Linked DNA regions of Zea mays. The protein of the gene in region 1 binds, or shares a complex with, the protein of each later gene. Links are inferred from orthologs where the notes say so. Each region holds a gene or a part of one and is shown in the gene's direction. Other genes may lie near its edges.

Region 1 (3,954 bases):
ATGAACTTGGCATTTCCATACGGATCTTGTTCCGCATTGCCTCCATGATACAAGCTCAAAAAATTGTCCATCTATTTGAAACACCAATTAAACATTCAATATAAACTGTGGATGGTTATTACCTAACCACAAACCACTAATTACTACCTAAATAAGTACAAATATAACCACCACCCACTAATATACTAACCACATTATAAAATACTCATATATAATAATTGCAAATTTTGACAGCACCTCCCCTGCACGGGGAGGATAAAAAACATGCACATTTGACTCACATTCATAATATTCAATCAAATTAGCATTTATCACATTATAAAATACTCATATATAATAATTGCAAATTTTGACAGCACCTCCCCTGCACGGGGAGGATAAAAAACATGCACATTTGACTCACATTCATAATATTCAATCAAATTAGCATTTATCACAATAACTAACATTCATCACATTCAAAAAACCACAAATTATAGCAAAACAATTTAACATAATTAACACAAAATGCTTACACAATAAACAAAAACCATATAAAATTTACCTAAACGGTCGGGGATGAACGTCGACGACGCGGGCGAGGAGCGAGCGCGACCGAGGAGCGCGCCCGGAACGGGACGACGGCCGTGCGGCGGCGGTGGGAGGCGTCCGGCCGTGTCGGGGCGGCGGCGCGGTCAGGGCTGGCGGGGCTGCCGGGGGGCGGGCGTGGCGTGTCCGGGCGGCGCCGGTCGGGGGAGGAGCGGCGCCGGGCGGGGCGGCGGGGGCGCTTGAGGGGCGGGGGCGTGTGTGGCGGGGCGTCGCCGGCCGGGGAGGAGCGGCGCAAGGCCGGGTGTGGGCGGGGCGTCGCCGGCCGGGGAGGAGCGGCGCCGGCCGGGTGCGGGCGGGGGGTCGCCGGCCGGGGAGGAGCGGCGCCGGGCGGGGACGGGCTTGGCGTCGCCGGCCGGTGGAGGAGCGGCGCCGGCCGGGGGCGGGCGGGGCGGCGGCGGCCGGTGGTGGAGCGCCGCCGGGGAGTAGCGCGGGCCGGGGAAGGAGTAGCGCCGGCGCGGGGTCTTGGGGGCGGCGTGAGTTCAATTTTTTTTGCACAGAAGATTGACAGAGGTTGAATACAGGGGGTCGACGCCAAGATCTATGGCGCCGACCCCCCGGACACGTGTTGCGCCGCCGACCCGGGGGTCGGCGCCATAGATCTTGGCGCCGACCCCCTGACACGTCACTGCCAGCCAACCGCCACGTCTGATGTATAAGCGCCAATAGTATTGGCGCCGGCACACAGAAGCTCGGCGCCAATGATGACGGCGCCGAGCTAAGGGTCCATTTTTTGAAATGAAACTGCCAGGGGCATATTTGTGGGAAAAAACCCGAAAAGGGCCAATTTGCAAAAAAGTTGGGCGCCACGACGTCCGTTTGTGCCAACGCAGCACGTACCTCGGCGCCATAGCCTATGGCGCCGAGCTGTGTTACCTCGGCGCCACAGGCTACGGCGCCGAGTAAAGGGTCCAAAAATGACATTAAAATTTTATAGGGTCCAAACGTGAATTTTTTTCCGATGAAGGATCAAAATGCAAAAAAATCAGCCCGCCACTCAAGTACTCAACAGATAACGTCTTCGGCGAGTCCAGTTCACCGTCCCTCCCTGTCCTTGCCATGGCCATCCCCACCGCCCCCGCCCTCCTCTTCCCCTCCGTTCTCCCTAACTCATTCCCCCGCCGGACACCCTGGCGACACCTCGTCCGGCGGCAACCGCGTCACCTCCGCGCGGGCCGCCCGCGCCTGCAGGCGCCGGCGCCGGCTCCTCCCCCGGTGGCGGAGGTCGCGGCGGAGCGGGACGACACGCCTCCGCTCAGGCTGCTCGAGCCGCCGCAGGAGGACGACCCCTTCCCGCCCGAGGTCCTCACCCTCACGCTTTCCTCGCTCGCTTACAGACGCCGGTCTCACCGCCGAATTTAGAATCGCTCGATTGACGGTTATCGTCTACGTACGTCATCGCATTGTGTGTAGATGGAGCCCGCGGACCCTGATTTCTACCGGATAGGATATGCGCGGATGATGCGCGCCTATGGGATCGAGTTCCTCGAAGGCCCCGACGGGATGGGCGTCTACGCTTCCCGGGACGTGGAGCCACTTCGCAGAGCTAGAGTGAGACACTTCATTCAACAATTCTCCTCTTGTCCAAGTCCAACCACTAGCTACCGATCAATTTGAGGTTTAAATCTCTGTCTCATTGCAGCTGGACGTCCATCACCACACCAGTTAGTGTTTGGATGCAGCACCTGTGAATCTGTGATTGGGTGGGAAACTCACATGAGAATAACTGGTCAAGGACGTTGTTCGTGTGTAGTAACTGTTAGATTATATTTACACTATATTTAGTAGGTAGTATACATTACCACTGGAAGTCAATGGCTTATGTTAATTGCCTAATTGTTATTTGCTACATACTTGCTGTCACCAAAAAATATGGCATCTATAGTTATAACACATGTTTGCTCGCAGTCGCATTAAGCTCACGAAATGCCAGACCCATGTGTTGAATTCTTCATCTTGATGCATGCTATAGACCTGTAGTACGATGGTCTTGTTCAAAAGAATTATATGATATTCTTGGCATGCTGAAACTGTTTGTATAACATATTTGGTTCTTTTCGTTCGCAATGATGAGCAATGTTATTGAAAGATGTGCTGATGTTGCTTTCTTTTCCAGGTGATTATGGAGATTCCGTTGGAGCTGATGCTGACTATAACTCAAAAGAAACCTTGGATGTTTTTCCCTGACATTATTCCACTAGGCCATCCTATATTTGATGTTATCGAGTCAACAGATCCAGAGGTAGGTGGATCAAATCTTTTGTTGCAAAGAGAAAACTGATCTCTTAAAATTCCGTCACTAGTTTCTATTGAATGTTCAGCGAATTAGTTAATAGCTTTGTCACGCTAATCATTTTGTTAACCAGTTGTTGGTTCTCCTATATTTATTTTAGGATTCATTACATAACAGCCATCTAATTGACTTGTGTTGAAGTTGTATGGGTGCAATTTAGCATTCAATGTTCATATAGTACATTTGAGTTTCCATACAGCTAGGATCTGTGTAATTGAGAATTTGAGACTGCAGAGCAATTTATGTGCACATTCCATCCATATGGTTGAAGTTATCGACCCATAAGCTCACAGTTGCATTAGAGAGGAGTGATACCACTTTCAAAAACTCAATCATCTGTCTTTTCTTCAACAAATATTAAAGCGCCAATAAATGATCTATGCTGGAAGCTGATGTAATTTGTATTACTCTTGCAGACAGATTGGGATCTAAGATTAGCATGTCTTCTTCTATATGCATTTGATATAGAAGACAACTTTTGGCAGTTATATTCTGATTTTTTGCCAAGTGTTGATGAATGCACTAGTTTGCTGCTGGCACCAAAGGTATCAAAAAGCTAACGGAAAGTATATACCTCTGCTGTGTCCTTTTCTTAGGAACCTCCTTATACTTGATTCTGCTGTTTGAATGAATTCATATGCCTGCCTTTCTAGGAAGATCTAATGGAACTAGAAGATGAAGATCTTGCTTCACAAATGTTAAAACACCAGGAACGAGCAATTGACTTTTGGCAAAAGCATTGGGTATACTTCTTCATTATGTTACTAGCTTACCTTCCTTGAACTCCTCTAACTAGCTTGATGGGTAATATCCAGGACAAACCAATTCCTCTAAAGCTGAAACGCCTTGCACGTGACCATGAGAGATTTCTCTGGGCACTGAGTATAGTACAGTCTCGTTCTGTCAACTTGAAGTTGAGAATGGGAGCCTTCATCCAAGATGCAAATGTGCTAGCTCCTTATGCTGGTACTTCTTTTCTTTTTTTGGTTTTCGTGATTGCTGCTCCCCCTCCCCCTCTCCGTTGCGTTATGCATAGGCACCTAAGTGAACAACAGGATGCTAGCGTTATGAGCCTG
Region 2 (3,600 bases), on another chromosome or scaffold:
CCACTACCCGTGCTAGTGTTCCTTGCTTGGCTGATGTTGTTCCTTAGGGGCATTTACAGTGGTAGATTTCATAATTAAGAAAGAAATGAGATATTTATTGAAACAATCTCTCATAGTGAAGAGTTTCATTCAGCACGGTTTCATAGTTAACATGTAAAAGACAATATGTCTAGGTAATAATGTATACATGGTTTCATCTCCATGAAAATCATTTCATCTCTTTGTTTATTAATTGCTTGCCACATCATCTAAACTGCTGACATGGCACACCATTAATAAGAACGAAGCCCCTATGAAACTGACCATAGAAAATGGCATTAGCATCTAAGGTGCACAAAATAGTCTTTATGTCGTCTTAGGTAGCCCACAATGAGGGGTGCAACTTTCTTCTGTTAGACTGTATCTTTCCAAACTCATTTTGACAGTAAGTGTACATTCAGTGAATATGTGATACATTATTTCAAGGTTTCAGAAGCACAACTGATGGAAATAGTTATTTGGATAGCTCCATAGTTAATTGGTGTACTTTGTTGTTTATAAAACCAAAAATTACAATGTTCGAGAGGGTTAAGTTCCAATAGAATTTTTTGGGTTCCATCCTTATTAGAATAGGTAGGTTTGACGTCACGACTCTTCTCGTTTATTAGAGTTTGGGACGGTTGAGCAATATATGCGTAGTTCTTCACATTCGTCTAAATTTATAATGTTTTCTAGACTAAACTAACTATTGAAATATGACACATACACAATTATCATTTACTGATGTTATAGAGATAAGTTTCTCTCTTCTTTTGGTTTGAGAGATCCAAAGGGATTAAGATACTCCATTTGCTCTAATTTTGGCAGTTCCTCACACTCGTCATGCTTTCACGAATCATTCACGAGGCTGGAAGCGTCAGTGCCGTTGGATTTGAGAAGATCACGAGACCAACGGGCAACGGCGGACGAGAAACCGCCATTCGGATAGCACGGGCGCACCTGCCGACCGGCGAAACCCAGCCGCATACTCGCGCCCATTCTCGCCGCGCACGATGCTCCGTCTCCCCACCCTCACCGCCCTTAAACCCTCAACCCCCGCCATCAGCTTGAACCGTGTCGGCTGCAGCCATGGCCGCCGCCGCCGCAAGCTCATCTTTGTCTCATCCGCTCCTCCGCCGTCTTCTTCGTCTTCACGGCCTCCGAAGCCGACGTCGAACCCGGAACCACCAAAGCCCACACATGAGGCCCGCAACCGGAACCCGGATGGATCCACCGAGGCAGGGTTCCCCACAACCAAGCCCCGGAAGCCACGCCGTGGGCGCCGCAGCGAGTCGGCGGCCGTGGAGGACTTCGTCCGCAACCGCCTTGAGCAGGTCTTTGCCTCCATCCAGGAGCGCAACCCCGACGTCCTCGAGGGCAAAGGCGACATCCTGAAGCCGAAGGCCGATGTGGAGCGATTACCAGACGACGAGGGAGAGGGAGAAGGAGGAGAACAGAAGCCCGTGGTGGAAGAGGAGGACCCGAGCTGGCCGCTGGATGCCGATGTCGGATGGGGGATCCGGGCCTCAGAGTACTTCGACAAGCACTCGATCAGAAATGTCACAGTGGACGGGGTGGAGATCGATTGGGAAGGGGACGTCGACGAGGGGTGGGTCAAGGAAATCAATTGCTTGGAGTGGGAGAGCTTCGCATTCCACCCCAGCCCCTTAGTCGTCCTAGTCTTCGAGCGGTACAACAGGTAAGGACCATCCATTCCCTGTCTAGTTTTGATTTGTAAACTGTTGGCATTATGTTTGGAATGGGCTGTGTGTAACCCAATCACCATTTTAAGCTTTGCATTGTGTAATGCGGATGTCCGTAAAGTGTGAATCAAACGAAACTAGAAACTTCAGAACTGTCCTGGTACTGACAGATAAACGGCAAAACAGGCTTCAGTTTCTGGAATTGCTTTGTTTAGGGTGAAGTTTATTAGTTTATTTACAGGAGGCTTTGATTGTGTAGTATTGAACCCTGCATGATGTTGTGATTTGCAGGGCTGCTGACAATTGGAAGTTTCTTCAAGAATTGGAAAAGGCTGCTAAGGTGTACTGGAATGCTAAAGATCGCTTACCTCCTCGGGTAAGTTTGAATAGCATCTTTTGATTATTTGGCTGGGTTACTGGTCTTTGTGCAGGTCCTAAGTTTTGTTTTGTTTTGTTTAATAGACAGTCAAAGTTGATATAAATATTGAGAGGGATTTGGCATATGCACTTCAAGCAAGAGAATGTCCACAATTATTGTTCCTTAGGGGAAACAAGATCTTATATAGAGAAAAAGGTATGTCAAACTAACACCCCAACCTAGCCACCCCTATATGGTTCAAATTGTCCTTGTGAGAATTCTATAAAAAAAATAGTGAGGGTTACCTTTTTTCTTGCGGGAAATTAATTGAGAAACAAAATAGGTAAGTAGAGGTGAGACCTACTTATCATTGTGACATTTGAGAGGAAGAGGAAACTCCCATTAGAAGATTGGAGAGAAAAGGGGATCTATTAGTTGAGCCTCTCCACAATAGAGCAAAGGACGTATTTCCAGCTCAATTTATACGCCCATGCGGCCCATAAGATGAGCTCCTGACAGGATTCCCGTTGGAGTTCATCCTCCATTTTTCTCAATCTGAAGGTTTTGTTTCCATGCTAAAACGTCCATACAGTCAGTGGCGGACCCAGGGTCCAGCGACCCTAGGCGCCTGGCCAGACTTTGGTGCCAGCGCACAATTAGCTATTCATCGCAGCACCTTAATCGGAAGCTTTGAATCATTTGATCTGAGTGATGTCTTAAGTCTCGTCCGGGCTCTATTTCAGTTCTGGGTCCGCTACTGCATCCAATTCTGTTCCAGCCCCAGCTCAATGCACCAGCGACAGCACCCTGCAGTTCTGATCACGGGAAATTCCATTTTACTAAGGGCTAGTTTGGAAACCCTATTTTCCCATGGTATTTTCATTTTCCCAAGGGAAATTAGTTCATTTTCCTTTGGGAAAATAGAAATCCCTTGGGAAAATGGTGTTTCCAAACTAGCCCTAAAGGATTCCTATTTTCCCAAGGGAAAATGAACTAATTTCTCTTGGAAAAATAGAAATCCCTTAGGAAAATGTGGTTCCCAAACTAGCCCTTAAACGGAAAAACAGTAGAGGAAATTCCTACTGCTGTAAGCACACACAAGCACACATTGTTATGTATACACTCAATAGTCGTGTGTCAGTAGTATTCAGTATTTCGTGGTACTGACGCGTACTACTGGTTGGTACTGGATGTGGTTCATTCGTATTCAGTATTTCATGGTCAGTTTTAGCTACTAGGTGTAGAATAGCATTGCCAGTTTTATCTGAGAGAGGGAGGGAGGCTGTTACACAATTGAAGAAAAGAAAAGCACAATTACAGGAATCATAGGGCTGAAGCAACTACAGCCTACAAAAAGAGAGGAAATTCAAGGACAAAAGGACAATTCTGAAGGCCCTTCAATCCTGTGTAACTGCAGTGAAACTTTGGGCGTGTTTGGTTCTGGCTTCTAGGCCCAGGCAGGTTAAAAAAACTCAGCCGGCAAGGAAAGACCACCTCACGGTATTATATTAAGAAGCTTAA
Region 3 (3,600 bases), on another chromosome or scaffold:
CACAATGAATTATGACATAATCAGGGTGTCAGTGGAATGCCATATATGGGTGAAGACTAAAATGCTACGAAAGGGTAACATTCCCCAGAAACGCCACAAATACAATTTGTTCACTTAATAAACATCTGCTTCAGTGGAATGAACATCACTGGGGAAATAGATTTGCTGTCATGGCTAATGTTAGGCTACGAGTTTGAAAACCTTGGTTCCATTGGCAAGTACGGGTGAACTGATAAATTGTAGGGGCCGTCTGCATCTCCTAGAAACATGACGCCCAAAGAAGGGTTCAAAGTGGTTCCGAATGCGCACGACTACTTAGTGTTGGTGTGTATTCCCATGTCGTGGTACAGACAAAGTTTGTTCCACCAGGGGGCTAAATCGGAGGATGAACAACGTAACAAGTTCACAGCTCAAACTACAAGTGTGGATCTGCTAAACTCATATGGGCTGGCCAAAATAAACTAGGATTTTTGAACAAAACCAGTGCTGATCTAAATATTTCCTGAATGAAGTATTCATTTGACGGGGTACAAGATGGTATACCTCAAGAAGGGAGGATCTCGCCCGCAAGACGGCGAATCGAAGCAAAATACGAGTGCTGTTCTAAATCAATCGTGAAATAAGTATTGATTTGACGAGGTTGAAGAAGGTAATACCTTAAGAAGGGGAGATCTCGGCCGCAACACGCCGAATCGAAGCGTCTCCGTGTGGATCTGATGGCGCCGTCGATGGTCGGAGACGGAAGCCAACGAATCGGTCGCGACGTACCTCGCCGGAAGCGGATTGGACTCCTCTTCGTCTTCGGTCGCGAACGGCACTGCGTGGTCACGAAGTCGAGGTCCTCTTCTGTGCAACCGAGGGGGGCCGGGGCCGACTCCACCGGCCGACGGGAGATCCGCCGCCGCGTCGCCGCGCTAAATCGCTCTTCCGCGGAGGGGTCGAGGCGAAGCGAGGTGGACCGAGAAGTTTCCGTAGTCTGGCGCGGCCGGCTCCGTCCGCGTGAAGGAGGCGAGGGGGCGGTTATAGTCATCCCCTGCATCTGGCATGAGAGAGAAGAGTGCGGCGAGGTAGGGGAGAGAGTGGCGCTCGCCGCTGCGGGAGGTAGGAGAGTACTGTAGCCACTATAGAATGAACAGTAATAGGGTAGGAGATGTGTAGAGTGAAGCGACAGTCTTATAGCCCGCTATTACACTTCTCTAAAGTCGAAAGACAACCTCCTTCCACGTGAGCGCTTTCTTCCTTCAGCCTTCTCGTTATCCTGAACGCGGCAATCTCCGAAGGTCCCATCCAAAACCTCGCCGCCGGATTCGCACCTCACTCTCGCCCGCGCACTACGAATTGACTGACGCCTACGCCCTACCGCTGCAAGCAGCACCATAGCGGGAGCCGCTACCATGGCGTCCTGCTACAACCCGTGGCGCCTATTCCCAGGTAACCTCCAGCTTGGACCCCATTTCATCGTTCGTTATTCCCTGCGCACAGTTCGTCTCGTCAGATATCACAGCCACTCTGTTGAAACTGTTCAGGCATGTCGACGGCGGTCCCTGCCGGGCCCGTCACGGCGCCGGCTCATTCTCGCACCTGCAAGTCCTCGGTAAGTGCCTAAACGCCTCGTACAGTTTATAACTTTGGTTCCTAGTTCCAGTTCGGTTTACGCGCCTGACTGGAGGTCGTTCGGTGCGTGCACAGAAAGTGTTCAGTGCTTTGCCTCACCGGAGGGGTCTGCTGTTCCTGGGCACGCGGCGTGCCAGGATCAAGTGCGTCAAGGACGACTCTCTCCATTTCGACCCGTCGAAGATAGAACCGCCACCGTACTCCAGCTACTTCGACTCCACATCCGGTCAGCTCGAGCCGGCGTCGGGCGCTCGGGCAAGCATACCCGGGAAGGAGTACTGGCCAGAGGGCACGGCGGCCCGCGTCCGTGCCGCGCGAGCGCCTGCTCCGGTTGGGGAGTCAGCTGGGATGCCATCATTTGGCACGAAGCCCGGGAGCAGGAGGAGAGGGTATAAGGAGCAGGTGACGTCGGCGTCAGGAACGGAGGGTGCACAGACTGATGACAGAAAGGATGGTGATGAACCTGATGTGGCTATTATAGGCTCTGGGGACGATGCATTGGAGGAGATAAAGGATTCGGTGGATGAGTATGTCATTTATGAGACACCAGAGGAAGAGGAGCTGAGTGAGTATGACATGGACAAAATGATGGGGCGGCCACACCCGTTCATTGATCCAGCAAAGGCAATGTCACTAGGGGAGCCGAAAACCAGTGAAGAGCTCTGGTGGCACTGGAGGAGGAAGTCTCAGGAGGAGGAAATGTGGTCAAGATGGCAGAGGAGGCGTCCAGATGTTGACACGGTTAGTTCCTCACTTGATTGAACCTAGCAAGTGGTAGGTAGTGATGTTTCCTTATATTGGGGCTGTTCACCAATTCCGGACATTGAAAGGTACTGCAACAAAAGGCCATAAATGTATGATTTTGAGTATTGCTATGGTACTCGCTAGTATTTCTATGCCTCATTTATAGTTCATATAGTATAAATGTTGCACGTACGGAACAATTTCCATGTGATCTTCCAGTGTCATTTTGTTTGTTTTATCCGTCCAAAAGTAGCTAGCCAAGTATATGGTATTTGTGTTGCTAATTACTGTCAAGTGTTAGCGACCATGGTGTCAATTATTTTATGGTTCTCCAGTTATTCTGTTTGTACTGTGAACGTGAGAAGAGTGTCAGTCTCACAGATGTAAAGGTGAGGTTTGTGCTTATGGGTTATGGCGTTGACGTCTGTGCATGTATATCGATGTGCAGGTTTGTCTGTTCATATCGCTTGATATGGTTGAGGCTTTGTGATTTTATTTTTTACGTTGACTGGTGTTTCAACTAACTTATATTCCGTGACGGCGATCCACATTATAAATTGTAATGTATGCTGTATCATTTTAGGTTTTTGCAAAGGCAATGGCGGAGACTGGGCAAATTAAAATTTTTGGGGACCATCCTTCACGGACAGAAGCTGCTCTTGCAAAGACAAGAAGACATTTGTACAAAGAGGAAAGGTTGACTTACATCCACAGAATACTAGAATTATTATACCATATATTTTTGCAGTACATCTTTACCGAATGATTTTATTGAATATCTGTGCACACATTGTTTCTACTAATTGCCTTACATCATTTGAGTTGGTAGTACCACCACTCGTGCATGGTCTCATCACATAATCTTTCGTAAACCTATTTAACTGCTCTTGGATTTACACCTTCTCCAAGTTATGCCACATATTACAAATATGTGGCGGTCTCATCATATATTCTTAAATACTGCATCAGAAAGATGTCGAGGATCAATTTTTTTAATTGACACAAGTTTATCTTGCCCATTTATACTCTTACATTTAATATACAATATAAAAACAGGTTAGAAGCAGAGCAAAGGAGACTAGAAGAAATAGGGCCAATAGCGTACTACTCAGAATGGGTTGAAGCTTATAAAAACAAGGATACATCACGTGAGGCCATACAGAAGCACTTTGAGGAAACTGGCGAAGATGAGAATGTTCAACTTATAAAAATGTTTCAACACCAAACTGCTGGGGAATATCG

The links.
Region 2: Protein PLASTID TRANSCRIPTIONALLY ACTIVE 14-like (region 1) and Thioredoxin-like fold domain-containing protein MRL7 homolog, chloroplastic share a complex: the UniProt entries of both Arabidopsis thaliana proteins name them as parts of the transcriptionally active chromosome (TAC) complex. The link is inferred for Zea mays from reciprocal best matches to the Arabidopsis thaliana genes PTAC14 and MRL7.
Region 3: Protein PLASTID TRANSCRIPTIONALLY ACTIVE 14-like (region 1) and protein PLASTID TRANSCRIPTIONALLY ACTIVE 12, chloroplastic share a complex: the UniProt entries of both Arabidopsis thaliana proteins name them as parts of the transcriptionally active chromosome (TAC) complex. The link is inferred for Zea mays from reciprocal best matches to the Arabidopsis thaliana genes PTAC14 and PTAC12.

The regions. Positions count from the first base shown.
Region 1 is NC_050103.1:78,052,959-78,056,912, forward strand, and holds the start of Protein PLASTID TRANSCRIPTIONALLY ACTIVE 14-like, read left to right. Parts: upstream 1-1,635; 5' UTR 1,636-1,644; coding exon 1,645-1,887; intron 1,888-1,998; coding exon 1,999-2,136; intron 2,137-2,701; coding exon 2,702-2,827; intron 2,828-3,294; coding exon 3,295-3,423; intron 3,424-3,531; coding exon 3,532-3,621; intron 3,622-3,693; coding exon 3,694-3,844; intron 3,845-3,954. UniProt on the Arabidopsis thaliana protein: Essential for chloroplast development, especially for thylakoid formation. Involved in plastid gene expression, probably by maintaining plastid-encoded RNA polymerase (PEP) activity.
Region 2 is NC_050098.1:188,498,179-188,501,778, reverse strand, and holds the start of Thioredoxin-like fold domain-containing protein MRL7 homolog, chloroplastic, read left to right. Parts: upstream 1-987; 5' UTR 988-1,031; coding exon 1,032-1,717; intron 1,718-2,012; coding exon 2,013-2,097; intron 2,098-2,183; coding exon 2,184-2,295; intron 2,296-3,600. UniProt on the Arabidopsis thaliana protein: Plays an essential role in early steps of chloroplast development. Involved in the regulation of plastid gene expression. May positively regulate plastid-encoded RNA polymerase (PEP) activity through binding to FSD3 and CITRX/TRXZ.
Region 3 is NC_050098.1:198,690,692-198,694,291, reverse strand, and holds the start of protein PLASTID TRANSCRIPTIONALLY ACTIVE 12, chloroplastic, read left to right. Parts: upstream 1-1,202; 5' UTR 1,203-1,394; coding exon 1,395-1,431; intron 1,432-1,526; coding exon 1,527-1,594; intron 1,595-1,689; coding exon 1,690-2,355; intron 2,356-2,941; coding exon 2,942-3,054; intron 3,055-3,414; coding exon 3,415-3,600. UniProt on the Arabidopsis thaliana protein: Involved in plastid gene expression. Acidic transcriptional coactivator necessary for the transactivation of many PIFs target genes (class B genes), particularly during the regulation of hypocotyl growth.